Arabidopsis thaliana: one gene and its partner. The protein of the gene in region 2 interacts with the protein of the main gene of each other region in a pairwise test. Each region holds a gene or a part of one and is shown on either strand. Other genes may lie near its edges. The genes, in order: AT5G41350 and AT1G62520.

Evidence for each region.
Region 1: the proteins of AT1G62520 (region 2) and AT5G41350 interact in a two-hybrid assay, tested with the Arabidopsis thaliana proteins (one large-scale study listed by BioGRID).

Annotation. Positions count from the first base shown.
Region 1 is NC_003076.8:16,536,458-16,554,066, reverse strand, and holds AT5G41350 (RING/U-box superfamily protein), read left to right. Parts: upstream 1-10,094; 5' UTR 10,095-10,678; coding exon 10,679-10,681; intron 10,682-10,855; exon of another isoform or gene 10,856-10,902; coding exon 10,903-11,043; intron 11,044-11,213; coding exon 11,214-11,643; intron 11,644-11,752; coding exon 11,753-11,862; intron 11,863-12,011; coding exon 12,012-12,041; 3' UTR 12,042-12,605; downstream 12,606-17,609. Other genes in the region: XPB1 (DNA repair helicase XPB1-like protein), read right to left, coding at 1-24, 111-186, 344-681, 855-942, 1,039-1,119, 1,229-1,372, 1,704-1,760, 1,865-2,087 and 4 more; XPB2 (homolog of Xeroderma pigmentosum complementation group B 2), read right to left, coding at 4,946-5,317, 5,535-5,615, 5,718-5,831, 5,934-6,006, 6,094-6,257, 6,553-6,746, 6,834-6,909, 7,095-7,432 and 9 more; UBC4 (ubiquitin conjugating enzyme 4), read left to right, coding at 14,111-14,154, 14,254-14,333, 14,717-14,831, 14,918-14,970, 15,068-15,196, 15,629-15,771; AT5G41330 (BTB/POZ domain with WD40/YVTN repeat-like protein), read left to right, coding at 16,239-17,609.
Region 2 is NC_003070.9:23,135,498-23,151,649, forward strand, and holds AT1G62520 (sulfated surface-like glycoprotein), read left to right. Parts: upstream 1-8,887; 5' UTR 8,888-9,008; coding exon 9,009-9,851; 3' UTR 9,852-10,034; downstream 10,035-16,152. Other genes in the region: AT1G62510 (Bifunctional inhibitor/lipid-transfer protein/seed storage 2S albumin superfamily protein), read right to left, coding at 1,135-1,584; AT1G62515 (uncharacterized protein), read left to right, coding at 1,223-1,615, 1,854-1,916; AT1G62530 (hypothetical protein (DUF863)), read right to left, coding at 10,835-11,659, 11,776-11,889.

The DNA of each region.
Region 1 (17,609 bases), on a different chromosome or scaffold from region 2:
TTTCGTCTTCTCTCACAAGGGTGGCTGAACAAAAGTCCAAAAAAGAAACTTAGCTTCTGCAACTGAAGTATACATATGTAAATGTATGTGAAAATGAACCCTTAAATTACCTGTAAGTCCTAGCTTGCAGTGAGATTTTGTGATACTGATAACTTTCCTAAACATATGGGCTGGAACCACATGCACCTAAAACAAAACAGAAATCTTGAAAAGTCAAGCATAGAATGGAAACTTATTGTTTGTAGATCGCATTCATGGGCTCAACACTGGATACACCTTCTCAACGAACATATGACTTTTCCGCAAAATAACTACCAGCAAACACTAACATCAATTTGATTACCTCATCCATGAGCAGTAACCCCCACTCTCTGTTTCTCATTTCTTCTATAATCTTCTCTGATTCCTCAGACCGTTTACCACCAAAGGCAACCATATTATAGGTTGTCACAACAACACCAGCATTTCCACGGAATCGTTCTTTACTATCAGAAGTGAAACGACATATTTGGTCATCTCTTATAGTAGACCACAACTTGAACTGGAAGGCCCACTGATCCACTGAGACAGCATTCGTCGCCAAACAAAGACAACTCTTCTTTATACGAGCAGCTGCAGAAACACCAACTAGAGATTTACCAGCACCACAAGGCAACACTATAATCCCAGATCTTGCTCGCCCTGCAAATCCAAGATTCAAGATCAGTCACAATATTTCTCAAGAAATTACAAAGATAATTATCTATTAGGTGTTCACCATAAAGCTAGATCAGTCACGTGGAAGTACAAGTGGACATATCTATGAGAAGTTCACCATCAATAAGGAAAAATAATGTGGATGCAGACAGCTATACCGTTCCCAAACATTTTGCTCAAACTTTTTTCCTGGTATGGCCTCGGTTGTGCATGGGGCTTCAGTTCCATGTCAAGATCGGGATTAACCTGAGAGACACCATCAAGTTATTAACAATCACACACCTGCGGTGCATATCATCTGGTAAGCAAAAATTGGCCTGAAGTGTAATATTTGTTACTCACATTGTCGTTCCTGAAGTCATATTCCTCTAACATAGGGTAATTCAAGGCATTTGGTAAGCAACGCTGCTTCACATTCTCCACCTAAACACCAAGAGAAAAAGAGCATGACACCACGAGTTAAGTAAAGATCATACAACTTTACCAAACTCATCAATTCGATTACTTTTAAGAAGCATTAGGAGAAATTTACCTGTGCAGGGTCAATCTCAAATGAGTGAGTTTCTTTCTCTTCTGCTGCTGCTGCAAATTCCGCTTCATTCAATAGCTCCCCGGGTCCTGCTTCAAGTTCACCGCATGTTCTGCCGACCGAGAATCCATCACCGCCATAATATGGCTACCAAAAAAGTTAATCTAAGTTGGTTCGACATACTGTGGAGAATACAATGGTATTAGATTAAATAAATCAACAGTCAATGAATCAAGAGTTTAAGAAAAAAGGATTATGAGTTAATTTACCAACTGAAACATCGTTCCAAGGAACTTAGGAGTTAGGAATATAAACATGAAACCAAGAACCTGAGAGAATCAAAATATATATATATCTGCCACACTGGTGACAAAAGATGCAAAACACCGTTGAGAACAACCAAAAATGGTATGTATTTCCATCCAGCATAAAATCTTGAAAGCAAACATAATGAACTAAATGGAGGAGTTCAACATACCTCAGAAGAAAATCTAGCTCGGTTTATAACATCGTCGCTGAGAAGCCTTTTCAAAACCTGAGATTGTTTTGTGTTTACAATTGAGCAAAGGCAATGGAAAAACGAAAACCAATATCCAAATACACAAGAGCAGAGACAGAGCATCAGCCTAATGAACTTACCTCTGGGAATGGGGACTCAATAAAATACCGATTCTTCTTCAAAACCAGCTTTACTTTCCCATAATTAGCAGTAGAAGCATGGATGAACTCAATCATCTCCTTGGGTAGCTTAGTCTTAGACAGTTTATTCAAAACAGAAATGATAGTTTCTGTCTCAAGACCAACGGAAACAGCAGCATACAACGAGTGTGGGGTTAAATTATACTCGTGCATTGACTCAGGCCTGAAATAGTAACAAATGAATGAAAATCAACAACAAAAATCATAACTTGTACATTGATATAATCACCAAATCAAAATCGAACCTGCAAACGGGTTCAGCAATGGCGATAAGAAAGTCATAAGCTTGTTTATAGAGAGGAGAAAATGTCTCCAAGAAAATCCTTCCATCAGCACAAGCCCACAAAGGCCTGTTTCCATGATCTGGCTTCAACTCCAATTTAGTAAAATCTCTCTTCTTCTCCTCTCCTTCACCTTCAAAAACCATTATAACTTTTCAATTCAATTTTGTTCCAAATGTATCCATTTGTAAGTAATAAGTATGCTACAATCTTACCATCACGAGAGTCTTCATCAGCATCATCATAGTAATCTTCAGCGTTTTGGATGTTCTTCATCTTTTGATCATCCTGAGATTTGACAGTACAATTACACTCACTAACTACCATCTGAAGAGCCCTAATTGATAAAATAAAAAATTGATCTGGAGAAGAATCAAGACGAACCTTGCCACCATACTTCATCTTCTTGTTAGGTCTTCCTCTTTCACCTGAACAACAGAACTTCACAGTATTGGCATACTTTTGTTTGGCAAGATAAACTAAGCAAAAATCAGTAAGATCGAGCTGCTTAATACCGTTTCCCATATTGATCTTCTTTTTTTGTCTTGTATCTTCCAATTGAAGTTATCAATTAGCGATTCCTGAGAAGAACAAAGAAGGAAGACAACCGGCGCCGTGAAAATTTACCGTTGAAAGCTATTTGGCGGAGGGAGTAGCTGCGTCCCCGGCGGATTTTGAATCGGATTCGGTGTCGGGTTCGGGTATCACTGGTTTAATCATTAATGTCAAGGAAGGGAAATGTAAAGTAGAAGATTCAAAAGGCTACAAATAAATAACGGATCAAATATGGGCTTTAATAGACCTCTTTTAATGTGGGCTTTCTTATTCTCACGTTGAGCCCATTCTTTTTTCTTTTAGCCTCTAAGATTATTCTTACATATGCAAAATGGGAGATGAAAGACAAACCATAGGATGAGGAAGGAAAGCGCATGAGAGCATGCACATAGTTGGTACTCATAGAGTACCATTAATAATATTTTACTATTAATTTTAATGTTTATTTATTGTTTGAAACTTTTTATAATATTGATAATAAATCTGTTTCCACCGGTGAAATCGTATTAGTATCATTAAAAAAAAAAAATTGCAAAATCGAAAAGATGCGTTTTCCCGACTAATCGAAAAAAAAAATTTCTCTCTTTTCACACAAAAACATGTTTTCCCAACTAATCATAACCCGCCACGTTATCAGAGACTGGTATCAAAGAAATCACTCCAGTGATACTACTTAAACCCAAATCAGTTATTTTATTCATTAATTTAATATTTTTGGGCTTATGATACTCATAAAAATTGTGCAATGTACATGGTCTGAGAATGGGAGACGATTCAATGCCCAAAGAGTTGCCACGTTCTTCTCCTTCTCAAGTGACACAAAGTATGAACCAAGAGGAGACCAATGTACATCCAACGCTCCTGCACAAGACAAATAGCATTACATTACCCCATCTGCAGCAGTATATAATCTCGGTCCCTTAGAGCATCCTCATTGCATATCTTTTATGGGTGTCTTTAAACTTTTAAACTACTTAAAAAAGTGGAAAATAATAAATGGATGTGTCTTAATAGTAGACATTTTACCTGTCAAAAGAGAGAGGGTCTTTAAATTTAATATTATTTAATATGAAAGACATTCATTGGAGGATGTGCAATGAGGATGCTCTTACCTTGGTCATATAGACATTATCTGGATGCACAAAAGAAGCAAGACCTTCTTCTTACCAACGTCTCAAAAACATGTCGGGCCTTCTTCTTACGATTTGGATAACATCTTAACAACTGGGCCATAACGGATGACTAATTGACCCAGATCTTCTTCATCAGTACGACACTTAAAAGAAAAAACACACAGAGTCGGGTCTTCTTCATCTTTCACCTGAACAACAAAATTCCCCAGAATTGACAATACTTTTTTTTGCAGGGTAATATGAAAATTAACCAAAATCAGTAAGATCGAGACTTTTATCGTTCCCCATATTGATCTTTTTCTCTTCATCGAATCAATTTTAGACATTATCTCTTGTCTTTTCAATCGATTATATCAATCCGGTGTCGAAGACAGAAATTCTACGACAGAGGGAAAACAAACGGTACCGTAAATATTTTCCGTTGTAAGCTAGACCGAGAAGCGAGCTGCGTCTCCGTCGCATTATGATTCGGATTCGGTGTCGGGTCCAGGTCCGGGTATGTCGAGTCCGTTACTGAGTTGATGTGATCATGTGAATGCAGAGAACGTTATAGCAGAAATGCAAACTCGATTCATATATAGAAAGGCTACAATAACGGATCCAATATGGGCATTTAGTAGGCCTCTTTTAGCGTGGGCTTTCTTTAATCTCAAATTGAGCCCATTATTATTTTTAATTCGAAATCATGACAAGTAATTATTTTTTAACCTCGAAAACTAAGTACGTTTTACTGTTGTTCAGGATCTGTCAACCAAATTATAATCGTGTTTTATATGTTGGTTCAGCGAGATATCATGACAGTTGACAATAACAAAATAATTTTCAAAGGTATTCTCGAGGCGATATCATGATATGCTAGAAAACAAATATCAAAAAAAAGGAAAGAACTTTCTAATATCAATTAATCAATTCACATAATAAAACAAATATCAAATGTTAACGGTCTTTTAAGGTAGGGTGTCTTCGTTTAGGTTTTCTTGATTTTGTGCCTGAAACAAATTTGCACCAAAGTTACAACTCAAAACATATAGCCGAATATGAGTTCTCTTGTCTCAAACATAACGTTTTTTGAAGATATTGTGTCGTTTGGTTGGGTCTTTAGGTTTCTTGGATTGGTTACCAGATTTTTGACGACCTGAGTTGTATTCCATGTAGACCCTTCCATTTGCACCGGACATTGCACTCATCGATCCCATGCTTCGTCGCGTCTTTAGAGCCTTTCCATCTGTGTCTTCTTCAAGTTGTTCTAAACCAACCATATCGTCTCCAGCATTCAACACCTTTCCGAGAAGAGACAACTGTTCTTCTTGACTGTGGTAGCCCAAGCTTGAACCCGCGTCCGGAGGTGGGAGGCTTGTTATTACCTTGAAGCTATAACCTTGGTCGATCAAAAACTGCTGTCTTTTCGTTGAATAATACATTTCCTGCATTTCAACATTCACGATCCTTACATCAGTCATTCTCCATTCAATCAGTCATTCGATTTTTATCGGTTCAGGAATTCAAGTCACGGGTTCTGGAAAGCAAAATTTTTTCTGTGTTTTGGAAACGAGTGCGGACTAGAACTGAATTATATTTTGGTTCTGATTTGGTCTGATGAATTTCAGTTTTTATGGCTACTTCAACAATAAAGTGATTTACCTGTGTATCGGTAGAAACAAGCGAGTAGAAGAATGCATTGTACTCTTCTTTTCCACCAGCCATTCTATCTTCAAGTTTACCCTGTTTTTGATCACGGAGAAATAAAACGTGTTGGATCCAACAACCAAGAGGAACTCTAGGAGAGACGCAAAATGTGATGAGTTATAATACTTAAAATCACACCTTAGCCCTAAGGATACGACCCAAACGTTGAGCCTCTTGACGTCTAGAACCAGCATGTGACGAAATCTGGATGATCACATTCGCTTCAGGGATATCTATGGAGTTATCACCAACCTGTAGTCAATAAAAGAAACCGAAACTAAGTTACTTGATGAAAATGGAATGAACAAGTCTCTATATATTCCCAGGTCAATGGAAAGGAAACAACGCTAATACCTTTGACAGGAATACAGTGTTCACGGTTTTACTGGTTTTAAACGCCTCGAGAATTTTTGTTCGTTCGATATGGCTACATATTGAACAAAGAGAACTATCAGATTGGAAACTGAGTGAAACATACAAAATTGTGCTCTCAATAGGTGGTTCTTTAACGAACCTGGTTGCACCGTAAATCATCGGTTTCCGGAGTTTCATTGCATACTCTGTAAGTGCAAAAAGATTGTCTGCAAAGACGATGATTTTATCCCCACGTTGTTGTTCATGGAAACGTATCAAAAATTCACAGGCTCTGAACTTGTTAGGGTTCATGACATAAAGCGCCTGCAGACACCAGAAGACAAGATATGTAAATGTCAGAACAATTGAAGGGGTTTCCTAGTTTCTATTACAGGGTGATCTATTAGAAGCATTTGCCAAATTATAAGACATACACAAATAACCTATAATATTGATGTTTACCATATTATAAGGTTCTAGACTACATCAAATTCATGGACTCTAGTGTATCAAAACAAACAAACATAAAATAAGATAGTCAATTATTTTAAGATCTTTATCCAGTAAAAATATCCAAGGAAAACAAAGATCAATGCGGAGAAAGCTTAGACGCATTAACCTGTTTTTTTTTCGAGTTCTCTTTCTTCAGATATTCTGCAAAAAACTCTTTGGTCATGGGACACCATACTTCAGCACACTGAACATTTGCAATAAAGCCTCCTTTAACTAAATCTAGCCAATTGGCTTCATAGAGTTTCGGGCCAATGAGGAAGTTTAAATCTGTAATTTTTTCGTCTTCTCTCACAAGGGTGGCTGAACAAAAGACCAAAAAAGAGACTTAGCTTCTGCAACTGAAGTATAACAAATAAAAAGGTATGTGAAAATGAATTTTTCATTTACCTGTAAGTCCTAGCTTGCAGTGAGATTTTGTAATACTGATAACTTTCCTAAACATATGGGCTGGAACCACATGCACCTATGAAAAACATAACTCTTAAAATGTCACGCATTGGATGGAAACTTGTTATTTGTAGATCCCAGTAACACTGGATAGTGGATACACATTCTAAATGAACCACATATAACTTTTCCGCAATGTAAACTACCAGTAAACACTAACTTCAATTCAAAGGCACATCACACTAAGAACAATTTGATTACCTCGTCCATAAGCAGCAACCCCCACTCTCTGTTTCTCATTTCTTCTATAATCTTCTCTGCTTCTTCAGATCGTTTACCACCAAAGGCAATCATATTATAGGTTGTCACAACAACACCAGCATTTCCACGGAATCGTTCTTTACTATCAGAAGTGAAACGGCATATTTGGTCATCTTTTATAGTAGACCACAACTTAAATTGGTAGGCCCATTGATCCACCGAGACAGCATTCGTTGCCAAACAAAGACAACTCTTCTTTATACGAGCCGCTGCAGAAACACCAACTAGAGATTTACCAGCTCCACAAGGTAACACTATAATCCCAGATCTTGCTCGTCCTGCAGAATCAGGAGTCTAGATCAGTCACAAGCTTTCAGGAGAAATAACAAAGATACTTATCTATTAGAAGTTCACAATGAAGCTAGATCAGAACAGTGTATGAAAGTACAAATCTATATATCTAAGAGAAGTTCACAATCAATTTAGCAGTCGCTGTAAACAAATTACTAAGGAAAATAAATGCGGGCGTAGACAGTTATATCGTATTACCGTTTCCAAACATTTTGCTCAAACTTTTTTCCTGGTATGGCCTTGGTTGTGCATGGGGCTTCAGTTCCATGTCAAGATCAGGATTAACCTGACAGACACCATCAAGTTATTAACAATCACGAACATCCAGTTCATATCATCTGATAAGTAAAAATTGACCTGAAGTGTGATAATTATTTCTCACATTATCGTTCCTGAAGTCATATTCCTCTAACATAGGGTAATTCAAGGCATTTGGCAAGCAACGCTGCTTAACATTCTCCACCTACACACCAAGAGCAGAAGAACATGACACCGTGAGTTGAGTAAAGATCATATAACATTAACAAAGTCATCAACACGATTTATTTCAGAAGCATTAGGGGAAATTTACCAGTGCAGGGTCTATCTCAAATGAGTGAGTTTCTTTCTCTTCTGCTGCTGCTGCCAATTCTGCTTCATTCAACAACTCCCCAGGTCCTGCTTCAAGTTCACCACTTGTTTTGCCGATCGTAAATCCATCACCACCATAATATGGCTAGAAAAAAAGTTAATAAGTTGGTTCAACATACTGTGGAGAATACAATGGTATAAGAGATATCAATTTCACATTCAATGAACCAAGGAGTTTAAAAAGAAGGATAATGAGTTTATTTATCTATTAAATAGTTCAAGAAAAAATTAGAATTTAAACACGAAACCAATAGCCCCAAGAGAATCAGGATAGATCTCTCTGCCGCATTGGTATCAAAAGATGCAAAAACTGTTGAGAACAACAGATCATGGTATGTATTTCCATCCAGTAATAGTAAACATAAAGCACTAAATTGAGGAGTTCAACATACCTCAGAAGTAAATCTTGCTCGATTTATGACATCATCACTGAGAAGCCTTTTCAACACCTAAGATTGTTTATATTTAACGAGTGAGCAAAACCAACAGAGAAACTACACAAAAATCCCATACGCATAACTAGAGAAAGAGGATCAGTCTGGTGAACTTACCTCCGGGAATGGTGATTCAATAAAATACCGATTTTTCTTCAATACCAACTTCACTTTCCCATAATTAGCAGTAGAAGCATGGATGAAATCAATGATCTCCCCGGGTAGCTTGGTCTTAGATAGCTTATTCAAAACAGAGATGATAGTTTCTGTCTCAAGACCAACGGAAACAGCAGCATACAACGAGTGTGGGGTTAAATTATACTCGTGCATTGACTCAGGCCTGAAATAGTAACAAATGAATGAAAATCAACAACAAAAATCATAACTTGTACATTGATATAATAATCAAATCAAAATCAAACCTGCAAACGGGTTCAGCAATGGCGATAAGAAAGTCATAAGCTTGTTTATAGAGAGGAGAAAATGTCTCCAAGAAAATCTTTCCATCAGCACAAGCCCACAAAGGCCTATTTCCATGATCCGGCTTCAACTCCAAATCAGTAAAATCTCTCCTCTTCTCCTCTCCTTCACCTTTAAAAACCATTATAAATTCTATTTCAATTTTGTTCCCAATGTATCTATGTTAATTATACGAGAGTAATCAATATTACCATCACGAGAATCCTCATCAGCATCATCATAGTAATCTTCAACGTTTTGTATGTTCTTCATCTTTTGATCATCCTGAGATTTTTACAGTACAATTACACTAACTAGAAGTGAAGAGCCTAATAAATAAAAAAAGTCATGTGGAGAAGAATCAACACGAACCTTCCCACCGTACTTCATCTTCTTTGTAGGTCGTTTTCTTTCATCTAAACATCAACATTTTCCCCAGTATTAGCATACTCTTTTCACCGGATAATTCAATAAACGAATCAAAACTCAGTACGATCGAGATTCGAGACCATTACCGTTTCCCATATTGATTTTCTTCTTTTCGCTCCTCTTAATCAAATCGATTTTAGGGATTGTTTCTCTTGTATTTTCAATTTGTGAATTCGCACATAACCTAAATTGTACGACGGAGGGAATATACAACCGTCTTCGTGGTAATTTCCCGTTGTAAGCTATTCAACGAAGCAAGCTGCGTCTCCGGCGAATTCGGATTCCTGTGTCGAGTCGGTGACTCGTTTGAAGCGGAGGAAGGAAATTGTTAAGCAGAAACGTAAGAACACGATTCATATATAAAGGCTGCAGTAACAGATCAAATATGGGCTTTTAATAGGATTCTTTAAATGGGCTTTATTCTTAAGTTTGAGCCCATGTTTCTTTTTTAAACATCGATAAATTATTTGCCGGAAAAAAAATAGTAATAATTTTACTGAAAATGGTACTTCCCAATTTATAATTTTTTGGTCGACACTTTTCAGCCGATTTTCAGTTATGTAATTTCATTATTGAAATTTTGAAAAATACATTGTAACGGAAAAAATAAAATAATTAATCAGCTAATTAATAATTGTATTAATGAATTTAATAAATCAGGTAAGTAAATATAATATTGAGCCCAAAAAGAGTCTTTGTAATTTCTTAGGAAAGTCATTTTGATAGAGCGCACGATAAACACAGCACCGCAAAAAGCACAGAAGCAGAGAAAGACGAAGACAAAACAAAAAAAGCTTCCCCCAAGAACAAAAAGTAAAATTCTCTCTATGATTTTGAGATTTTTAATTCCTCTTCTCTGATTCAATCTCGAGAAGATGATCGGTTCTTCTTTGGTGTTTGTTCTTGCTAGTGATCGCTTTTCTTTAGGTTTTGAGCTTGATTTTTGTGTGAAATTCTGTGGGTTTTTTTTTTACTGTTTTGATCCGTATTTCTCCTATGTGTTTATGCTAGATTCTGAGAATTCTGATGTTTATTGTTGCTTTTATAAGTTTCGGTTTAGGGTTTTACGGATTAGCTTGCTCTTAATGGAGCTTTGGTTCTTTTTGTGGATTCATTGTTTGTGTTGGAGTTAAATTCTGAGTAGAATTGTTTTAAGTTTTTGGGGTTTAGTGTAAAACTGATTTGAATTTATTGCAATTGTGTGTAGATGGTGCTAAAGAGAATGAGAATTGTAGGAGATTCACATAGGCTTGTAGTCGCAACACTGTTGTCTCGATTTTAATGGTTGATGTTTATTGTATCTTTGATTATTGAGAGTGAATTTGAACTGTTAGTAGCTGAATTGTTTTATTGTTGCTACTAGCATGATGAGTCTGATCAGACTTTAGTAGACAGCTCAAACTGATATCGAAAACGATAAAGCTTGTTTGAGTTTCTTGCATATAGATGATAAATATTCTCCTACTGATCTCAGAATGTAATTTGTTTCTTCACATATCTTGTAGGTTAGCATAGATGAAGAGTCTTCGGGTTTTGTAGTTTTTGTAAAACAGAAAAAAAAAAAAAGAGAAGAAGAGATGGGAGGTTGCTGTTGTTGTTCTTCTTCACGAAGAGCTGATGTAGATAATGGACCTGCGTACTACTACGTTAGTCTGATACTTCTCCCACTTCCTCGTTTTTTTTGGGTGTCCTTGCTTTGATAGGCTGCAAATAAATCAATCTTGATGTGCTTCAGGACACTAAATGAGTTAAAAGCCCCAACGGGCTTCGAGATTCATATGGGAATATAACTTGTTTTATGACTTGTATTTTGCAGTACCCAAGGGCAACAGAAGAGCGTGTGCCTTTATCTTCCGCTCATAACAGGACTTCCTCTGCAATCTCTACTGGTGTTGTAGTAGTAGACACAAACTTAGAGACATCATCTCCTGATGCTTATATACCACCGCCACTGCCTACCCCTTTCGATGTGCCTATAGGGATTCCTCAAACACCAGCTAGTGGTGAAGAGGCTACTTGTGTTGATATAAGAGAGGTTTCGGTGGACTCTGCTAATACCGAGTCTGCTCAAGAAACAGTTGATGGTATTACTCTCGGGGTTCCAACTACATGCTCACATAAAGAGACAGATAGCAAAATCCAAACAGAGATTGATCTTGAATCTACTGAAGAAATAGACCCGAAGCTATCAAAAGCTGTTTTTATACCAATAGAGGAAGAGGAGGATTGTCCCATATGTTTGGAAGGTAAAAGCTTGTTTGCCTTTCCCACATCTCAAAAACATATAAACATAATCGTACCTTACATGACTGCGAGAATGGGTTATTTATTATATTGTCTGTGCTTTTGATTCAGAATATGATATCGAGAACCCGAAACTTGTAGCCAAATGTGATCACCATTTTCACCTTGCATGCATTCTAGAATGGATGGAGAGAAGTGAAACCTGCCCCGTCTGCAACAAGGTACATTCTTTTATTCACTTCTCTTTGGTGTATGTCGAAAAACTCTAATCTCTAAGTAAACCGTAAATAATGAGTAGTTCCAATTTAGCTTGTTTACAAATTCATTTTAATTCCCGGGATATGTCTGAGAGGATCCGTTTGTTCTGCAGGAAATGGTATTTGACTCTACTCTTGACTAGCAACCCGCAAATGCCGCATCTTAGAAGGCTCAATTCTCTCTGTATCAGAAGAAAGAAATTGGAGAACAAGAGAAAAACTTAAAAAGAAAAAATGGGTAAGAATACACTAATAGCTGATCACAAAGTTGGATTTACGAAACATGTCAGTGTTGATATACATATGTTTGTGTACAGACGTTTCAAATCGTCTACAAAAAAACGGAGATTAAGAATTAGAGTTTGTGCTTTAGATTCACTTCTGTGAATAAAAAACGAGACAAAACTGATAATTTTTCTTCTAGATGTTTTAATTTTGGTAATTCTTGTTTATAGGTTATTTTAGGAGTGTTTTAAAGCTGGGGTTTCAATTTGGGTTTGATTCAGTTTTTTCTTGAGTTTAAGAAAAATATTAATCAAACTGAAATTGAGAGTTTGTTATGTATGGATTGGGTTTATTACGGTTCGATTTTAGTTTGGTTTAGTGCTTATTTATTTTCTTTATGTTGTTCTGTGATATGTAATATGAAAATTGTTTATACTTACTAGTTTGTAGTGTTTATGTTTTAGATTTCTTAGTTCTTCACATTTTCGAAACTTGGTTTGTTTAGTTGTCTCATTAGTTGAATATGTGATGTCGTATTGTCGTACATCTTACTTACATGAGTACGTCAAATTAAATGAGACTTATCTAGTAAATGATATTGTTACATGTAGATGCAATATTAGTCATTGCTTTGTTTAATAAATAATATTTGTCACAAGTGAGTAAGTGACAGATGAATAGTTGCTAATTATAGTGAATCATGCTAATGGTATATTGGACAAATATTTTTATTTTTTAAAAAATTTCCTGTCTAATTTGTTTTTTCTAGTTAAATACTTATACAGATTCATGTTTTTAGACTGTAATCGGGCATGACCATCCAACTATTTTTGTCGACCAACAACTTCAACGCGCCAGAAAAGCGTTTTGAGTGACCATTACTGTGTAAAACAGTATAAAATAGAGGTTTTTTTGTCACGCCATTGGTTTAAATGAAAAATTAAATTTAACAAAATTGAAAACTTTAAAAATAATAAAATCAGATAAACATAAGCGAACAACGAATAAAATGTGCAAAAAAAATCACCAAGTAAAGTAATTTGTATAAAAATATTCTTAGGGTTCTAGTTACTAATTTGTATACAAAACATAACACCAAGTAAAGTAATTGCTGTAAAAAACACTAATTAACATATTCTTAAGAATTATAAACACTAATACTTAGAGATACTTTAGGTACTTATATCGAGTAATATTTTGACTGAAAATTTACTATTTGACTATTCAAATATGTTATCTTAAGCCATTACAATCTCAAATACAAAAGAAAAAGAAACAAAAAAGAGGAAAAATTAGGGAAGTAATAATGAGAGTTTAATATTCTTAGTTAAATAGATTATACTAATAAATAATGAGGTATACAAATAGTTACTGATTTTAATGAATCATCATAAATAGTATATTAAACGTTTTTTAAAAATTTCTTAAAAATTATTTTTTTGAACTAAATACTTTACAGATTCAAGTTTTATAAAATATATTCCGAAAATATCTACGTGTTCGAAAAATATTTATTTTACGTTCAATTGATTCATTGTTTCAATGTCATTTATTATTAGACTATAAATATAGTTTAACTATGTGATTAAAAACCTTTTCTAAAATTTAATAATAATTACTATAAAACTTTATAGATTTAAAAGAAATAACAAAAATATGATCTAACTTTGGGAGAAAATAATTAAAAATTTTTAGGGAGAAAGTAATTGAAAAAGCAAAACAAAATCACAAAATTTATTACTAGTGAAGGGAGTGAGATTCTTATTTCTAACAAAGGATATATATTTAGAGATACGATCTCCTTCGGTGGTTCACTCCCATCATCGATGTACGTGAAAATATATAAATAAAAAATCAATAAACGAAAATCTTTCCTTTTTCTCTCACACATTTTTCTTCATCTCCACTCGAATCCGGAAGAAGAACAAAAACCAAAAAAAAAACCCAGAAAATCAGAGAAACATAAGCGAACCGACAGAGAAAAAAAATGTCTTCGCCAAGCAAACGCAGAGAAATGGATATGATGAAGCTGTAATAACTTTCTAATTTTTTTCTCTGTCGGTTTCATTTGTTACTTTTGATTTGAGTTTTTTGTTTCTATGATTGATTTGATTTGATTTTATATTGCAGGATGATGAGCGATTATAAAGTGGAAACGATCAACGATGGCATGCAAGAATTCTATGTTGAATTCAATGGTCCCAAAGACAGTAAGATTGATCTTGTCTGAGAATAATCCCCAGTTTCGTTGATTGTTGTCTCTAAATCAGTCACTAGTGTGCTATTTTGATTCTGTTACTTGTGAAAATGATGATAAGGGTATTTGTAATTCTTCCTGGTTTTCTTAGATTTTGTTCATATTAGTGTCAAAATTGCAATCCGTTATTTGTGGTGGATTCGGATCTACGGCGGTTCGATTCCACCATGTTTACACACTGTGTGTGGTTTACTTACTCGTGGTGGGCTTGCGAGTTTGCTCACCACGGGATTAGTTAGGCGCTTCGGCGAAGTTCGGTTGGGATACTCGGGTGTTAGTTGTGAAGAACTGTTGTTAAACTATTATTTGTGGGTTTAATGTGTGTGTTGGTGATAGGTCTCTATCAAGGAGGTGTGTGGAAGATAAGAGTTGAGCTTCCAGATGCTTATCCTTATAAATCTCCATCTGTTGGTTTCATTACTAAAATTTATCATCCTAATGTTGATGAACTGTAAGTCTTTTTAAATTCAATCCACTAGATGTTTTGGATCAATTTATTTCAATCTTTTTCATCTTTGGTCTCCTTTGTTTATGCAGGTCGGGTTCTGTTTGTTTAGATGTGATTAACCAAACTTGGAGTCCTATGTTCGGTAAGGGCGATATCAAATGTGGTTTATTTTGAATATTTGGGATCAAATGATTGCTGTTGTGATTTAACTTTATGTTTTTGGTTCTTCTTTTTTTCAGACCTTGTGAATGTGTTTGAGACATTTCTTCCTCAGCTTCTTCTGTATCCAAACCCATCAGATCCATTGAATGGAGAAGCTGCTGCGTTAATGATGCGTGATCGTCCTGCTTATGAGCAACGAGTTAAAGGTAAGTCGACTCAGATTCTCATGTTAAGAGATATATCAAGATTCTGACAAATCTGTTAGTTTCTTTCTCTTTTTCTTTTATTTGCTTGATGTGAGGTACACATATTTGCTTGGACCTGTTCTTAATGTGTGCGTTCGAGATTACCATTCTTAACACTAAGAGTTCCTCTCAGTCATTTTTCGTTTTAATGAATTAGAGCTTTTGTTTGGTTTATGTGTGAACTGAACTTTCGTAAATCTTGGAGCTAATGTAATGATCTGCAAGTGATTTATTCATTAGAATCTCATGATGAAGATAAAAGTTTCTGATCATTTTAAAGACTTAGGCATTTACAAGGTCTTGATAATGTTATGGGGATATTACGGTTTTTGGGGATATTTTGAGGAAGTGTGATGGTTATTTTGCTCGGCTTTGTTGGGTTTGCGGTTTCAGAATACTGTGAGAAGTATGCAAAGCCAGGGGAAGGTTCAGAAGATAAGTCTAGCGATGAAGAACTAAGTGAAGAGGAATACGGCTCAGATAATGAGGATGATGATGATGATGATGTTGCAATTGCTGGCAAACCAGATCCTTGAACCAGCTTTGGTAGGGGACTTGTTTTATTGTATATGATCATGAATTATCTCTGCTTATAACTCAACTGTGAAATCTATTTCTCCCTTTGTGCTTTGTTCACCTGTTTAATTTATCGGACCGGACGTTTGTGTACATTATTAGACCGAACCGAATTGTTAGTCTTTTCAATTTCAAATAAGTCTCTCTTACCGGTTTATACCGGTTATTGATTCGGTAATTTCTTTTCTTGAAGGCTATATGCATCGTTTAGATTATAAACGCATTGTACATATCCGTCTCAATAGCCAAAATTTACTAAACGCATTGTTCGTTTTGATTTGATGATCTCATCCACTTCAGTGGCCGTGTTAGCCTTGTACAAGTAAAAACTGTTCCTCTTCTCTGAAGTTTCACTGTTTATCCGTCTTATCATCCTCTGCCAAAAAAAAAAAAAAAAAAAGCGAAGAACGTCTTCTGATTTGCTCGTATGAATTTTCCGACGATCCCTCATGAATCGAACGTTGTCTCCATCAACGTCGGAGGCCGAATCTTTCAAACAACGAAGCAAACCTTAAGCCTAGCCGGAACCGATTCTCTCCTATCTCAACTCGCTACTGAGACAACTCGTTTCGTCGATCGTGATCCCGATTTGTTCTCCGTTCTTCTCTATATCCTCCGTACCGGAAACCTACCTGCTAGATCACGCGCCTTCGATGTTCGTGATCTCATCGATGAATCTAGATACTATGGAATCGAGTCTTTCTTAATCGATTCTCTCTCGAATTCGTCGCAGTTCGAGCCGTTCGATCTCCGTAGATCTAGGATTCTTCAATTGAACGGTCGAGATTCTCCGTCGAGTATCTCACCGACTGTAATCGGCGGAGGTCTCCACGTGGCGCACGGTAGCAAAATCACTTCGTTTGATTGGTCGTTGAGGCAAAAGTCGACTGTGTTGACTAATTTCTCCGCCGTGGATTCGCTTCTAGAGATATCTCCGGGAGTTTTAGCTGCCGGAGCTACCGATTTCCCTGGTTTGCAAATCATCGATCTCGATAACGGCGGATTCGTTCGTACGACTCTGAATTGGGAAAACGTTACTAGGTCTAGCTCAACGGTTCAAGCCATAGGTTCTTCTCATGAGTTTTTGTTCACTAGCTTTGAATCTAGTAGAAGGAACTCGAATTCGATTATGGTGTATGACCTTTCTAGCTTGTTACCTGTGTCTGAGATTGATCATTGTGAGATCTATGGCGCTGATATTGATTCTGCGATTCCATCGACTAAGTTGAAATGGATTCAGAGTTGTAATTTGTTGATGGTTTCTGGTTCTCATACTAGTCCTTCTGGTGTCAATGGTCACATAAGGTTTTGGGATGTTAGGTCAAGGAATATGGTTTGGGAGATTAAGGAGGCACAAGATTGTTTCTCTGATGTTACTGTCTCGGATAATCTCTCGGCGGTGTTCAAGGTCGGTGTGACTTCAGGGGAAGTTTTCTACGCCGATTTGAGGAGTTTAGGAACTAAGGATCCATGGGTTTGTCTTGGGGAAGAGAAGAAGAGAAACTTGAATGAAAGAAGAGGAGTTGGGTCTAAGATAGAGAGCTATGGGAATCATGTGTTTTGCAGTAGTAAAGGAAGTGGGATAGAGCTTTGGTCTGAAGTGATCACGGGTTTGGTGGGGAATGCAAGCCGGGATGTATTGGAAGAGAGGGTTTTTAGGAAGAATTCGTTGGGAAAATTAGCGGATTCAGGAGAAAACAAGATAACAGGATTGGCGTTTGGAGGAAATAGAATGTTTGTGACCCGAAAGGATCAGCAGTCTGTTCAGGTTTGGCAAAGTCCTAGTCGTGGAATATCT
Region 2 (16,152 bases):
TTTTATTATTAATTATATTATTATAAATAACTGCTTACATTTCTCTTGTGGACGAAATTTTTTTTTGATTTTATTCTTATTTTCTTACCGAGATAATTGGTTTCTTTTTTTTTCTTATCATTTGTCAAATGAATTCATTAGCTGGAAATTAAATTTGAAAAGTATATAGGGGTAGGGGGAAACACCTTAAAAACCCTTGTTTTTGTTCTATAAAGTTGACCATCTATCTTTAATGTTCATACTTGATTATTCCATATATTGACATTTTTATAAATTTATTTCTTCGAATCCATATCCATTTGTCAGTGTCACTAAAATGATAAGAGGTTGACACAGTTTTGTAAAGATCTAACCTGATGCTTGACATGTTCATATCTGTGTCGATCCATTTTTTTTCCCGTAAAATTTTGGATGTTAAAACGCATGGGTATTTTTTCTCTTAAGTTTCCAGTATTGGTTAAGAAAAACAAATCTTTCTTATTAAACTTTGATAGACACACGCGCATGTAGTAAATTAGGCTTGAATCATGAATTGGTTCCGTAACTTCTGAAGATTATCTCTGCACGATTTTACGGATAACTGGACTTTATGGTTTTCGCCATGAGCCTAGCTTCTTCTTGTTTGGTTTAATTTACTTCATATCAACGATCTGCTCATTTTCACATCTTCTTATTTTGAGACTTTTTGTTGTGCCTAAAGTCGTTCCTCAATTTTGATGGTTAAACCTTCGGTTTCCACACAAGGGATTGCAGTCTTCAAATTAATTATTGTTTAAAATTCGATGTGCAACAATAATATCCATATATACCTTATAATCTTATATATTGAAATGATTGTGTTTTGTAACTTTGGATGTATTGTAAGATGAGATGTTATAAGGATATTATTTATTAATTCATACAACAACAAATACACACCCCAATGAAACTATATAAGAGAACAGAAAAAAACACATAACTGTGAAGTTTAGAAGCAATCATACACACATACATAAGTAACTAGATGAACACACAAATACAAGATAACAAAGACAATAATATATAATCTTTTTTTTTTTGGTAGAAATCATCTTGTCTGTCCAAACAAGAAGATTATATTGATATGAAGTGTGTGTTGTATAATTAGGTTCTTGATTAGCATTGGAAGCCACGAGGAACTTTTTTGCTGCAAACATTGAGAAGAAGACTGAGAGAGAGTGGGATATTCAGGTTGATACCGAGGATGTTAGCCTTGAGCGCAGTGCAAAGACAAGCTGCAGCCTCAAGATCAGCGAGTCCTTGGATGAGGGTGCAACATGGCTCGACCGGTGGCTTGCCAAGGGTTACGTTTAGTAGGCCGTTGAGTACGTTGGCGCAAACTCCTAGCTTAAGGGCGTCTCTAGGGCATTTGGCTATTGCCGGGCTAGGACTAGGGTGTGGTGTTGGCTTGGGTTTAGGGTTAGGTTTTGGCTTGGGAGAGGGGCTAGGTTTATGTTTTGGCTTGGGAGAAGGGCAACCGCAGTTACCGCAGGCGGATATTGTTGTGAAGAAAAGGAAGTTGAGGATCAAGAAAAGAGCTAAAGATTTTGTGGTTCTTGAAGCCATTGTTAATCTCACTTTTGGTTATAGAGGAGAGGTTTCAAAAACAAACAGTACTGTTTTCTTTGGTATGTGTGAATTGGGATGTTGGAGAAAGATGGAGGGTTCGAAGTTGCTTTTATAGTAGTTTGAAGGACATGCCGAGAATGTTTATGACCTCATATATGTGATTATTTAAGAAAAACATCGGTGAAATTCTGAATTTTTGGTTTATAATTATTTTTGATTACTGATAAAAAGAGGTTATTTGATATATGAATGTCCTGTGTAAACAGAGCATGTTAGTGCTGATTCTAGACTGGGTTCGAGAAGATTCTTCCAACAATTTATATGATTAAATTCAAGTGCTAGATAACTCTGTGGTGGCAAATTGACAAAAGCAAAATTTGGAATATATATTGTCCATTTTGTATATTATGGTAAATAAGAAGTTTTTTTTTTTGTTAAAAAGGTAAATAAGAAGTTTTGCACCTTTAGTTTCCCACGACTCTTTTCTATAAGATAAAACATATAACACTTGGAATATATATTGTCCAGTTTTCTTAAGAAAAAACATCCAGTAAGTTCAGCTATAATTTTTAATAAAATTATGAATCTTTTTTTTTTATCGCGAGTGATTTATCTACATAATCTTTATTCTTTTTAGTCACATACTCTCATTATTATCTTATTATTGAATTATCATTATTTTCTTATAGTTAGTATTGAAATTTGCAGGAAAATGACAAGATTAAAACCATGTGTGGTCCTTGGACATTGATCTGGCAAACAACAGAAGGTGAATATTTGGATTTTTGTTAGGTTCTTCAGATTATGATGAAACTCTTCTTGAACTTATCCTCTTGGTAGTATTTTTTAATATATAAAGTCGCATTATTAATCTAGATATGACAAAGTTTCAATCTAATTGCTCTATAACCTAGGCATATCGTCGGAAAGAAGACATTCTGACATATAGATATACTTCATCTGTATACTTTTAAAGCAACTTCCTTGTATCTTCTGCGTTCGATTATCCAAAAATATGTAGAAGTTGTTTGAAACATTTCAAATTTTTGTTATTAACCTTTGGTTGTTTTCTAATTAAATGTTCAATGTGTTTGTTAAATGTTGTAAGATTATATATACTCTAGAAAAAAGCAAAAAAAAAGTTAAGCCGTTTGGAATGTAAAAGATGTCAAGCCGTAATTTTCAATCTCCATACATTTACAGTTCTCAAAGAAACTCCAACTGCGATGTTCTACTTCCATACAATAATGTTAACAAAGAGATAAACATTTCTAACCATGATGTTCAATCTCCATACTTTAATGTTTCAAAGAAATGAACATTATTCAGAATATGTGATAGTGGAGCTGCTGATTCTCTTTGTGCCCTTCACGAAACAATTGAAGGAGGCTGGTTTCTCTTTTACTTTTTCAGTTTATGTAACTTAAAATCGATCAAATTTCCGTTGAGTAAACACATTTTTTCCGAATAAATTTTACATTTTCTTCAAAAAAGAAAAAACAATTGAAAACAATATAAGATGATATATGATAATACATAAAAGGCCTACTTCACATAGATTACTAAAGATGTCTTATTTACAATTCGTACACGTGTGCATGGATGACAAAAGATGATCCATTCTATAGATTATGAACTTGTGTGTCAAAACACATTAATTTCTGTACACAAACATTTTGTGTGGAAGGTGGAAGTCATTTTATTTTAAACCTATAATTATTTACATAATCTACAATTATAGGTTTTGAACCTTTTTTTTTATGTTTGTGTATTTTTCGGATGTTATTGATTTTGAGATTTACTTTTTAAAATGTTTCCGAAGAATTTTCTTAACCTTTCTTGTCGTTTGACATTTTTTATATCAAATCACACAAAATGAAAGATTTGTAAATTCAGTAGTGTAATAATCTAAAAATTTTACATGTACCATATATTGTTAAAATATTTTTTGTTCACATTGTATAACAAAACCATTTTTTAATTCATTTGCACTTCAATCAATACTCGACAGTTGACACTCTTGAGTTTTGGGCCTTCATCCATAAAATTGGCCCAATATTTTAACCATTGCAAAATCACATGGACATATTGGGCCTTCGCCCATCAAATGGCCCAAAATTCAAGTATTGCAAAACCGTACCAGTATCTATCAACCCTACCAATATCGAATTTTGTTATGAATCTATCATTGTTTTTTCATTAATTGATTTGCAGGATATTTGATCGCCTATATAGGAAAGAGTGGGATGCTAATTATAGTTATATTGTACTTCTGTTTAATAGAAAGAGATGGAAGGGAAATTATAACTGTATAAGAGGTGTGTGTATATGTGATATATTGAGATTGTAATCATCAATAAATATACTTTTTTTGGTCAACCTCTGCATAAACAGCGTACGTTCTTGTCAGCGTAAGTTCTTTGAATTCTTGAAATATGGTGAAAAAATGTAATTGGTACATTAAAAGCTCTTTAGATTGGAATGCATCATGTTGATAGATTCTAGCATTGATAGATTTTAATTTTGAAATCCATTTTTCAAATGAAACCAAACCTAGCTATTGGGAGCTCATAATGAAATAAAACTGTATTTATTATTTCATAGATCAAAAAAATTATTGACTGTTATTTCTGAATTCACACGTTGTAAACTCCAAAACAACAAGATCTGAACCTTATTAATTATTGAGCTTTGATTCTTTTTTTTTAAATGATTACTTTTATTCTGATTTTAAATATTTTGTTCATCAAAAATAATCATATTAATGGTTTATGTTCTATACCATTTGAACCAACCTCTTACAAACTTGATAGCCAGTAGTTTATTAGTAAAAATAAACCGTCACGCTTTAAAGCCGTAATGTGGAAAAATGATACCATCATGATATAATTTAGAAAGACTTGGTTTATTCATTAACATAAGAAAAGTATTTATACATAATGAGATTTTTTTATACGATAGAATCGTATCACATCTCAATATTTTAAATTTATCCTAATATATCCTAATACCCTCCTTCAACTTGGTGATCTGAAATTTCGAGCACCAATTTGGACAATAAATTTTCAAACATATGTGTAGAAAATAGAAGAGCGTCGACTTGTAAAACGACAACAAAGTAAAAGAAGTGAAGCGGCAGCTTGTGGCTTTCATAGAAAACAACGACACCAATGGCTTGTAGAAACGGTAGAAGATAGACGTGCGACAGCTTGTGAAGCAGCGGCAAAGAAGAAGTTAAACGGCTGCAGCGGTGGCTTTTATGGAAAACGAGGCAATAGTAGCTAGGTTTAATAGATAACTGGTAAAATCAAATATATTTATAGTTTAAAAATTGTAGAAAATAGAAGATAATGGAAGCAACACTAGTTAGTACATCGGTGGCTAGGTTAATGATTTTAGAACAAAGGCGGCGGTTGCTGAAGCCAAGCAACGACGGCCATTTAAAAAACAAATTAGGTCACTGCTACCATGATAGATTTGGGTTTTTAACATGGTACCAGCGACCTAATCTGGGCAATAGATGGAGTGGTTCTAACCCTTTATATACTACTTAATAATTTCTCCAAGTTTCGATGTGGGATTTTCTTCATTAACACCCTTCTTACGTTCAGATATTATTGGCTCTGAAGCGTAGATATATGTTGAAACAACATCCACTGGATGATCCAACGATTGGATGGTTCTAATACCATGATATAATTAAAAAGAACTTGATTTATTCATTAACATAAGAAGAGTATTTATACATAATGAGATTTCCTTATATGGTAGAATAGTATTACATCTCATTATTTGAAGTATATCCTAATACAGATCAACTAATGAAAAATGGGGTGCTGATATTGACCATATAGATGTATACCCATTTGAAAAAATATATCAAATTAAATGTCCAACCGTCCAACTATTTTTTTCGAGATATTCAACTTGTGTCACTCGTAACTAGTAACTAGTGTCACATTTTATTTTTGGTTGAGATTATTTCTTCCAGGATTATATACGTAAATCGGTTACTGAGGATTAAAAAACAAAAAAGGAGGATTAAAATTTGAACACCGTTCCCGGAGGAGACCAAGAAGATTCTTAGGGCAAAGCGTGAAGTTAAAAGGCTGTCGAAAAAAAAAACATTACAATTACAAACTTACATCTTTCACAAAACCCTAGTTTCTACCCAACCAAACTTCCTCCTTGGCTCTCCTTTTTATTTCAATTCCAAACTAGCTCCATCCATATTTGATTTATTTATTTACTTAGTTTGGATCTTATAATCATTACACACTTTATAATATACTATTACTATTCATGCAATTTGAATATGAAAGTGAAAATGGCAAACTAAGCCCTAGAGATACTTAGATTGCACAAAGTAGTCACTGAACTTTTCCAAGTAACAACGCAACCCTAAACTTTGGAATCTACCAGCTTAGTCCATATATATACAGTTTACAATATATATGTATTAGTTGGTTTAGTATATACCACTTTGAACTTTCTACCAAATTTTATTGATTTGCTTAATTAATTTAAAATTAATATATATTTGTACGTTTAATTTGTTTAGTATACTACATATAGTTTGTTGAGTTTAAAGTTTTAACGACTATCTATAGTTACATTTCTTTGTTTAATAATTTAATTATAGAGTATTTCACTAGTTATATATACTTCTTATGATATTGAATTAATCGGAATTTTGATAAAATGGATCTACTTTTCCAATATAGATAGTGAGAGTCATTTTGAATAGATTTCTAAAAGTTAAGGATGCGTAGTGATGTTTAGACTTTAGTATTTAAATACTTTGAGTCAAGTATGGACATGAATTCAAACCATTTATGATTACGTGCGGGATGGGAGTATGTATTATTCTATTCTTTTGTTTAGTTTTTCGTAATAGTTTACTAGAATTGCTTTAATTATGTGTTTACATATATCAACGTTGTGGCCTCCTCATGTTACTACACGACCCACTCTCCCAAAAGTTTCTTACTACTAAAAAAATATTTTCACCATAAGATTTCAAGTATAGTGTATATACGGTTTTTAATGCACATGTCTGATATTTTTTTTGGGTTCTAACTTCTAATGTCTGTTTTTTTTTTTACATACACATTTTCTCATAAACACACTTAATATCTCATTTTTACGATTTATTATATACTAATACAACCAAATTAAGCTGGTATAACTCTGGCATGGTTATATATATATTCGATAAATTCCGGAGCTTTGTGTATCAATTCTTATAAATGCATATATATTCATACTGAGCTGTGAATCATATGGTTGGTATAAAATTTAACTAAAGATAATAACAATTATTGTCACATAAAGTAAAGCAATATTTAAGTAGAAGATCATATTTAAAATATGTCTTCTACATATATATAGACATATAGTATAACAAAACACTTATCATCTGTATAAACTAAGCAATTGCGTCAAATAGAAACTTTAAAATATAATTAGTGGCAACCTAAATCTTTATAATATCTAAGATCAAACATGTAGTATAGTAATTTGTGTTAGTATCGTCGATGCACCGTCACTCGAATTTAAACTCGCATCATACATGATACATACTGTTGAAGTGTATAATCGTTCATACTAAGAAACTTTCTAAATTGTCATTGAAATTGAAATTTTCACGGTATGATAGATTATATATTGAGTGACACAAACGGATTTACAAAATATTTGAACACTATTCAGAACCAACAATGTCATATATACGCATTAATCACTAATTAGTCAAATGCTTACTTATGTTAGACAAGGCAATTGTAATATCATCAGGGTATAGATTATTATAATTATTAATTTAAGTGTGTAATTAAGAAAAAATAAGAGGAAGACGACAGATAAGAAAATGGGTGTCATTATGTGAGAATTTCAAAATTTTCAGTGCGATTTGTTTTAATAGTCCGTCGTTGGCAGCTTCCATTCTCTTTCTATTCTTCTATTCTTCCATTTTGTTTTTGTAAATCTCAAAATTCTAAAGATTCCTCCTATTTTTAAAAGCAAACAATTATTTTTATATTAGTAGCATGACAAGTGATTAAGATACGCATATCCTAGTGAGTAGTATACAATTTTCTCTATATTATATTTATATTGTGTATATTTCAGAGTGTTAGTTGAGTTGATTTTATGAATTAAATTATGTGAACTCCTGAACCAGAAAGCAGCCAACTATATCTCGCTGTAGTGCAGAAACATATATTCAGCATTGACAGACACAATTTGTGAAGTTAGATAGCTTTTATCACTTGCTCACTGATACAATGTTTTGTGAAAACACATCAGCTAGTCAGTAGTCAGATTGCATCAAATTTTGGGTTCCATGAGAGGACAAAATAAATTGAAATAGACTTTCATTTTGGTTAGTAACAAAGTTAGTAATTAGTTACAGTAAACTAGCTTATATATATACAATTTCGATAGTTAGAAATAGTTTTTTTTTTTTTTTTTGTGTGCAATTTTTCTCTAATTCATCTTCGAATCTTTTATTATTTTGGTGTTTTACTTTTAAAGTTACAAACAAGCTACCATTGACCACTGATTGATTCAAAGACGACAATGAATCGTGATTCTTACAAAATTCTATGGTGTAGAAAATTAGAAATACATATAGTTTTGTTTTAGCTCACTAGCTTTAATTAATTATGACAAGAAGAAAACTTATAATTTGTATGATAAACAAGATATACAAATTAAGTAGAAATGCGTATTCTAAGAAAAAGGTTGAAATGAAATCATTATTTTGTATTGAATATTTTTTGTAAGATAGCGTAAAATTTACGTTGATTTCGAAATATTTTTGTCATCGACTAAGAGATCCAGATATCTTAATTGACTTGAATAGACATTACATGTGAAATTCTATTGTTGAGATAAAAACAAATAGAGTTACGAAGTTGACGTATTTTTAAAAAATGTTATTCGTGTTCTTTTGTGATCCATTTATGATAAAAAAAAGACAAGAATCACAAGACTGTACCAAAATAAAAACAATAAAATCCGGCTGTCAATTTTTATCTTACATTTATTTCCGTCTTGTTTTTCTGCATTACCTTACATAAAATCAAAAAACAAATTTTCCATTCTTATAATTTTTTTGAAAAAACTTAAAATCAATAAGACAAAAGTGATATGAAGGAATGGGGTCATATCGTAGAATCATCTTACATAAATCAAAAAAATAAATTTATGTTGTAAAAAATTACTATGTTATATTAAACTAAAGGGTAATACCGTAATTTACACTCCCAAGTTTCGACGTACACTTTTAATATTCATCATCATCATCGCGCCATGTTGCTTTCTTCTTCTGCTTCTGTTTCTTTTCCAAGTTTTTAAAGAGAGAGAGAGAGACTGAAAGAAAAACAAAAAACAGAGAGCTTTGGTTCCGGATCTTGATTATGGCAAATGGGTGGGTCAAATCGTTACAATGCAAGTCGAAAGCTTTCGATGATGTTTACAATCCGATTAAAAACCCGAACCCGAATCCGAGCCCGAGTCCGAAACATCTCATGTCAAGCTACAGTTGCAGAAAAAGCACACAGAGTCTAAAAGATGTGATCGAAACCAAAAAACCCAAACCTAAACCGAAGAAACCCAATCCAAAACCGGATAAACGAGAAACCGACCCGGTTTTATCACCATCAACCCGGATCCGATCAACCGGAGTTCGTGATCGTGATCCGTTTTTACCGACATTGACGGAGCTATCGGAAGGTCATCAGTCACGTAATGTGGTGGAGATTATCTTTCAGACGAGCTGGGGTCCGAAACCGTTTTCGGGTCGGGTCGAAATGATTTTCAAAGTGCAAAACGGGTCTAAGACTTTGACCCGGTTCGAAGAGTATCGTGAAGCCGTGAAAGCTAGGAGCGTGGGGAAAGCGCGTGAAGAGAACGCGCGTTCGGTTGCCGACGGGAATGAAACAATGAGGTTTTACTGTTTGGGTCCAAGTTACGGTGGAGGTGGCAGCGCGTGGGGTATTTTGGGAGGAAAAGGCGGTGGCGCGTCGATATATACGTTTGCCGGAAGTAGCACGGCGAATGAGAAAGCTGGCGGTGGGAAAGGGAGGAAGGCAATGTTGGTTTGTCGGGTCATAGCGGGTCGGGTCACTAAGCAAAACGAGTTAAAGTATGACTCGGATTTGAGGTCACGGTTTGACTCAGTGAGTGGTGACGACGGAGAGTTGCTCGTGTTCGATACACGTGCGGTGTTGCCTTGTTTTCTCATAATCTATCGGTTGTAAAAATTCAAAAAAATAAAAGTTATTTTAGTTTCTAACTTTTTGACATTGTAATTTCATTTATCAACGCAATTTTCCCCTAATGTTTAGGGATTTGTTTTTATTTCCAATGTAAAATTGGTAGAAAATTGTGTTGATAAATGGTAATTAATTTTGTTGACGACAAGAAAAAATGGCAATTAGTAGATTTTCTTTCTTTCTTTCTTTCCCAACTAGTAGTAAAATATTTTCTTATTAAATGATGTCGTAAATAGTGAATATTTTGGTGCGTTGGCTTTTACAATGCCATTAATAGATTTTATTACACAGTCAATTGTTATTAATTTTTACAGTTGGGTTTTGATTCTACATTCAATTTTCTTCCATCTATAGTAAAATATTTTATCCACTAAAATATCTTTTACGTTACTTACACGACTACTTCCTTAAAGCGAAAAGCTATAGTTGGAAAATTTCAAATTTTGTAACGTTTCTTTAATATAAAATAAATAATTTCAAAATTTTAACTGAGAGATGAGAGTAGTTCAAAAGAAGGAATAATCAGTGAAAAGTGATTCCCACTAAAGAGCATTTGTAAAAGATTTAAAGTCAAAAAAAGAAGAAGAGAAAAAGAGTAAAAATTGAAAATGAGAAATCATGAAAGTTACATTGGATCCGCAGGGAGAAGAATATTTAGAATGCACAAGTGATGAAAAATTGAAGAAATAACAGAAGCGTAAAATTTAGGCCTGTTGATGTAAAAAAAAAAACAATTAGGCCTGTTGGGCCCATTAGGCCCATAAAATAATTTACGGAATCAGTCCTAGCGAATCTTTCAAGAATTTAAAAGAACCAACTAATCTTTGAAGATCATAGACTCGAACAAAGTTCCAACTTCCTCCTCTAACTTTCAATATAGTGAATGATTTTGAAAACTGCTATATGTTAAAGCTAAACCAATGGAGCTAGAGCAAATGTCTATAAGACCTCAAGCACCGTGAATTTCATCATCTCCTTCTTTTACCTACATACGTTTGAGTCAAACCTTTGGTGTTTCTCAGGTTTGGTTTGCATTTTCCATCTTTAGTCTTCCCCTGCATTTTCTTGTAATCTCTCGATCTAAAAACCGTCTCTAAGAGGTTAATATCTTCTCGAATCTCATGTCTAGAGAGCGATACAAGCTCCGGGAGTATCTCCTTTTGGAAATTCTTCATTCTCCTCCCTCTTCTCAGCTTGACTCCAAACTCTTTCTTCTTACTGAAGTCATATATGGCCTTTGATGATACACAACAGAGCTCTTCAGGGACAGTTTCTCTTATTTCTAAAGTATGTAGCTCAAATGAATCGCAAGAACGACCCGGTTCTTGGACACCGTGACTTTGATTATGAGAAACAGCTGAGATGTGGACTAAACATTCAGCTGCCATTTGAATTACTTCACACGAATCTTCTCCTTCAGTCCTTGAATTGTTTTCTGCGGTGCAACATGAAGCTGGAGATGCTGAACAATCTTTTTCATGTACACCATCTAAACCGCATTGATGATCAATTGAAACCGGCTCGTAAGCCGGGGGTTTATTAAGATCCAGCAAACATGATCCATCTGAAATATTCACTTTCTCACTTTTCTTGCCACACAAATTTGTGCCATATGCTTCAATCCTCAAATCTATGCTATCTTGGGAAGAACCAATGCTGTGGAATTCTCGGTATTCGACGCTTTCATGATTTTCAGGAAGTTGAAGATCACAATCTTCCATCAGTGGATTAAGGCAGTTTCTATTCACCTGCTCATTACACGACACAAAGCTCTCGTCTCTTGCTGTATACACCTGAAATGAGAGTTGATGAACATGTATTTTTGCTATTTTAATTAAGAACAAAGGCAACAATGAGAACAAAAAGATTTAAAATAGTATACTAGCGACATAACGTTAAAAATCTTTACCTGCTGCCCAAAAAGAGTGACCATTCTAATTTGATTTTTCTTAGAACTTTCTTCATACGATTCAAAACGTTTCTTGCACAAAATTTCGTCCTTGGACAAACCGTGGAGATACATTACAATGCCTTTTGTCTTATTTTCTCCATAGGACGTCTCTCTATCAAATGCAATGGATATATAATGAGACAATCCATACTCAAAACATCAACTAAATCGTTAGAACTGTGACATTGCCACAAAAATTGGAACAGAGAATCGAGCTTAAACCCTAGAATCAGGCCTTTACAGATTCCAAATGATTTCATTTACAAAAGAAAACTAGCTATGAAAATGTATACACATAATCTATGGCTGCATAACTTCTAACATGACAAATATAAATAACTATTGAATATTGCTGTACAGAACCATTATCAAGAACTAAAATCGAATAACAAATTTGACTAAGATTTTTATCAGGTACTGATCTAATTAGAAGTAACTAAAACCATTAATCATTGTTTAAAAGTAAATATATTCAGATTTTCAAAGGTTCTGAATCCAAAATCCTTTGAAAAACCTTCCTAATTTGCAGAAAATTTCATGAAAAACTGAACTTGTATTGATCATTCACATACATAGACAGAGAGAATCAATTTCTCTTCTTATGCATCTATTCTAAACATGCAAATTTCGTGACACTAACAAAGAAATGATTTTGATCATTAAGTATGACTTTTACCGGAGATTTCAATGATGACTAACCAAAATTATCGACAAAAGAACAATTAATATATAATGAGGAAAAATCAATATATTCCTACTATGAATAATTCAAAAACTAATTCAAAGACAGTATAATTTTAATAGGGAAAACAAGAGAGAAGAATCATTACCCAGAAAATAAAATTGCAGCTTTCAATTGTTAGATTGACCAACAGACCTATGAGACAAATAGAAGTAATCTTAGTAAGACAATATTCATGGTTAGAGTCTTTGAGATGTAATCAACAGATATATATATATATATATGTCAGGTCTGTTTGTATAGGGTTATAGGAATTACAGAAGAAATCTTACCATGAGGAGCGAGAAGTGTTTCTCTTTATTATTTTTTATTTTTAGAGAGATTGAGAATTAGTGGTTATTATTGTGTTAGTGGGCACAATTAGCAAACATTTTTATGTTTATATATATCAACTTCGTTTCTATCCTTTTTATTTTTTTATAACTCAAAGACATACTTTCAAAAGAATATCAAAAACCATACAATAATTTTTCTATTTCCATCAATGGCATAAGCAAAACACTTTCTTATATTAAAACAAAAATATTTTAGATTCTAATATTTTTGTTTCCATTTTTTCTAGTTATCATTGTATATTCAATTGTTTTCTTTGTGTTCACAATGATTGTATATTTCCTTTTGTAATTTGACTCAGAGGAAATTTGAATTGTTTTTATGTTAGATTTGGAAATTTAGGTTGAGCGAGCAAGACTGCCAAAAACAATAAAAGCTGCCCAAAATAAAAATAAAAGAGCGAGCAAATGGTTATGGTAACAAAGAAATCTAATTACCAAAACAAATAGTAGATCTATGTAATCTATATAAGGCATGAAGTCAGGCCGGTTTATGGGCTCTGCCCACGGCACAAGGCCAAACTTTTTTCGTTTTATCAACTTCATTAGCTTATAAGGGCCTTCAATTTATATTTTAGTTTTGCAAAATAGGGTCCAAGGCCCATTTATATTGCTTGGAAAGAGTGAGAAACTGTTGCTAGTTATCTTTTGAGAGTTTGATTTTTTAACGTCTTTTATTATTTCTAAACAAGTTTTCATACCTAGCGTTGGGTGGTCCGGCTTGGTTGCATGAACGGATAGCAGTGGAAAGCCGTTCGAGTCGATGACGTCTAAAGTACAACTCTTGCATGGGATGAGCTTTTTCCGTTTTGTCTTTGGTTCTAATCTATTATGTTTTGCAGTCCGTTTTCTCTGTATTTCTGTTTTTTTTACTCTGTTTCTTTATTACTCTGTTTCATTTATTAAGACGTTAAGGAGAAAAAACAAGTTTTCAAACCAATTATACAAACATATCATCAAAATTATCAAAAATAATATAGAACGATAAAAGATAAAAACAAGTTTTGACTCTGCTTTTTTTCGAAAAGCCTTCCTCGCTATCGGTTTATCAAATTTGTTATTTTTCTTTTTCGTACTCGAACTCAAGCATGCGTTATCACATATAAAACCGACATTACTTTCGCGGATAACTCTTGTTTTTACTGCTCATGATGCTTTACTCGGTAGTCCAATCTTTGATCTATATGCTCTAGTTATTATACCCAAGGGTAAGGGATGCTTGATCGACTAATGTATCTTAAAAATGTTTCCTACATGATGACTTTTGAAGAATCCCTACAAGACCAAATTATTGATGTAGATTGATCACCTACACAAAGTTAATGTATAAGACTTTTGTAGGAACCATATATGGTTAAGATCTAAGACCATGTTATTGATGGTTTTTGTACCAAAAAACGTCAAAATCGTTTATTTTTGTAATTTTATCCTTCACGTCCAAAAAATACAGAATAATTATATGAAATCAATATATGTAAAGTTGTTAAAATAGGCTATATACAATACCGTATTATTTTTTTACTTCATATGATTTTGCATTTTTTCGACATGAATGGTAGTTGAAAAATTGTTGATTTTAAGATTGTTTTTTTTTTTGCATAAAACTCTATTATTGATGGATAAAGTCAGAATTTGATTTTTCTGGATTAGAAAAAATCAAGAAATTTACTAAAAAGAAAAAAGAAATTTACGGATGTCAAAAAAAAATAAAGGAAGAAATGTACAAGCTACAAACAAAAATCGGGTAGTTGTGTCACGTTTATTCTTCACTTGATTCTACAATGATTGAGATAAAGTTGCCGATTTTGCCGGGTAGCAAAACACGTGAATTATGCAAAGACTGAAATAACATGACTTGACGATTTAAATAGTAAGCTTATTAAATATTTCACTCAACCCACAAAACGCAATTAACCGAACGGTCCAAGCCTTCGTACTTTTAGGTGGCTATTCGTTGAAGAAGATAAATGAAAGAGAGGGTACGTGTCCATCCATTTGCGGTTAGGTCTGGGTCCATGGCCCGTCCCTTTCAAAATGCAATCAAGGTCCGTAAATCGGTAAATGTAATTAAGAAATTGTAATATCCAAGCTAAAACTTACTCTTTCCGTTTTAAAACGGGATATAAGTTGTTTTAGAGTTTTTCTTTTGAGTCAAAATATAGATGTTTTCATATCTTCATATAAAAGAAATATTAATTAAAAAGTTTTATCTAAAAGGTTTATAAAGAATTAAATGACTGTTTTTCTTCATTGGCTTTCACCGAGTATTTCTTATTAAAAATATATATTTGACTAAAAGCATAAATTTTATCAATCTCTGTCCTAACTTCCAAAACATCTTACATTTTGAAATGGATGAAATATTTTTCTTCCTTCTCTTTCTTCATTTGAGGTATATATGAATTTAATCACACATTTTAAATAATTAATGTTAAAATGATAAATCCTATGTTTTTCTATTATGAATTTTAAAACTAGAACTATTGAAGTATTGATTGTGGAAAATATTTTAATATCCAGTTATTGAAAATATTTTTAACAATGGTTTTTCAATATGGTTTCAAAATTCAAGATGATTTGGGAAAAGTTAAGTTTATTGATCACATGCACCAATATATATATACACTAATACACAATTATATATATTAATTTAAGCACTAAACTTACTAATCCTTATCTTAACATAAGATTTATCCCGTACCCACTCTAATTAATAAACATATATCTCCGAAAATTGTAGAACCATATAAAACTTTAACACTTCCTTTCAAGTTTGAGTATATATGTAAATCACAAACGCTCAACTTGGACAAGTAGCTAAAACAGGAACTTCTCAAGGCTATGTGGTTCGAACATTATATGTAATAATATTGAACCACATCTCTTATACTAAGATAATCCGCTTTGATATTTTTAGTTTTCTCATAGAACATTGGGTTAACAGCAATGTGCAATGCTGATTTCCTATCACAAAACATCAACATCGGATCACTATGCTTCACTACTCCTAGATCCGTCAAAAGTCTCTTACTATTTTAGTTCAAGCTGGCAGCCATGCCTATATACTCTATTTTGACGATTTGGTTTACACCGGTAACGGTTGTTGAATGAAGAAAATCAGATTTTAAATTCGATCATATTCTTTTATTAAGTTAAATTAGTTTGTGTATTGTTCTGACAACAAAACAATTTCAGCTAATTTTATAACAAAATAAATTGTGCTTTTTCGGATATTTCCCCTTCCATTTTTACAATAGAATG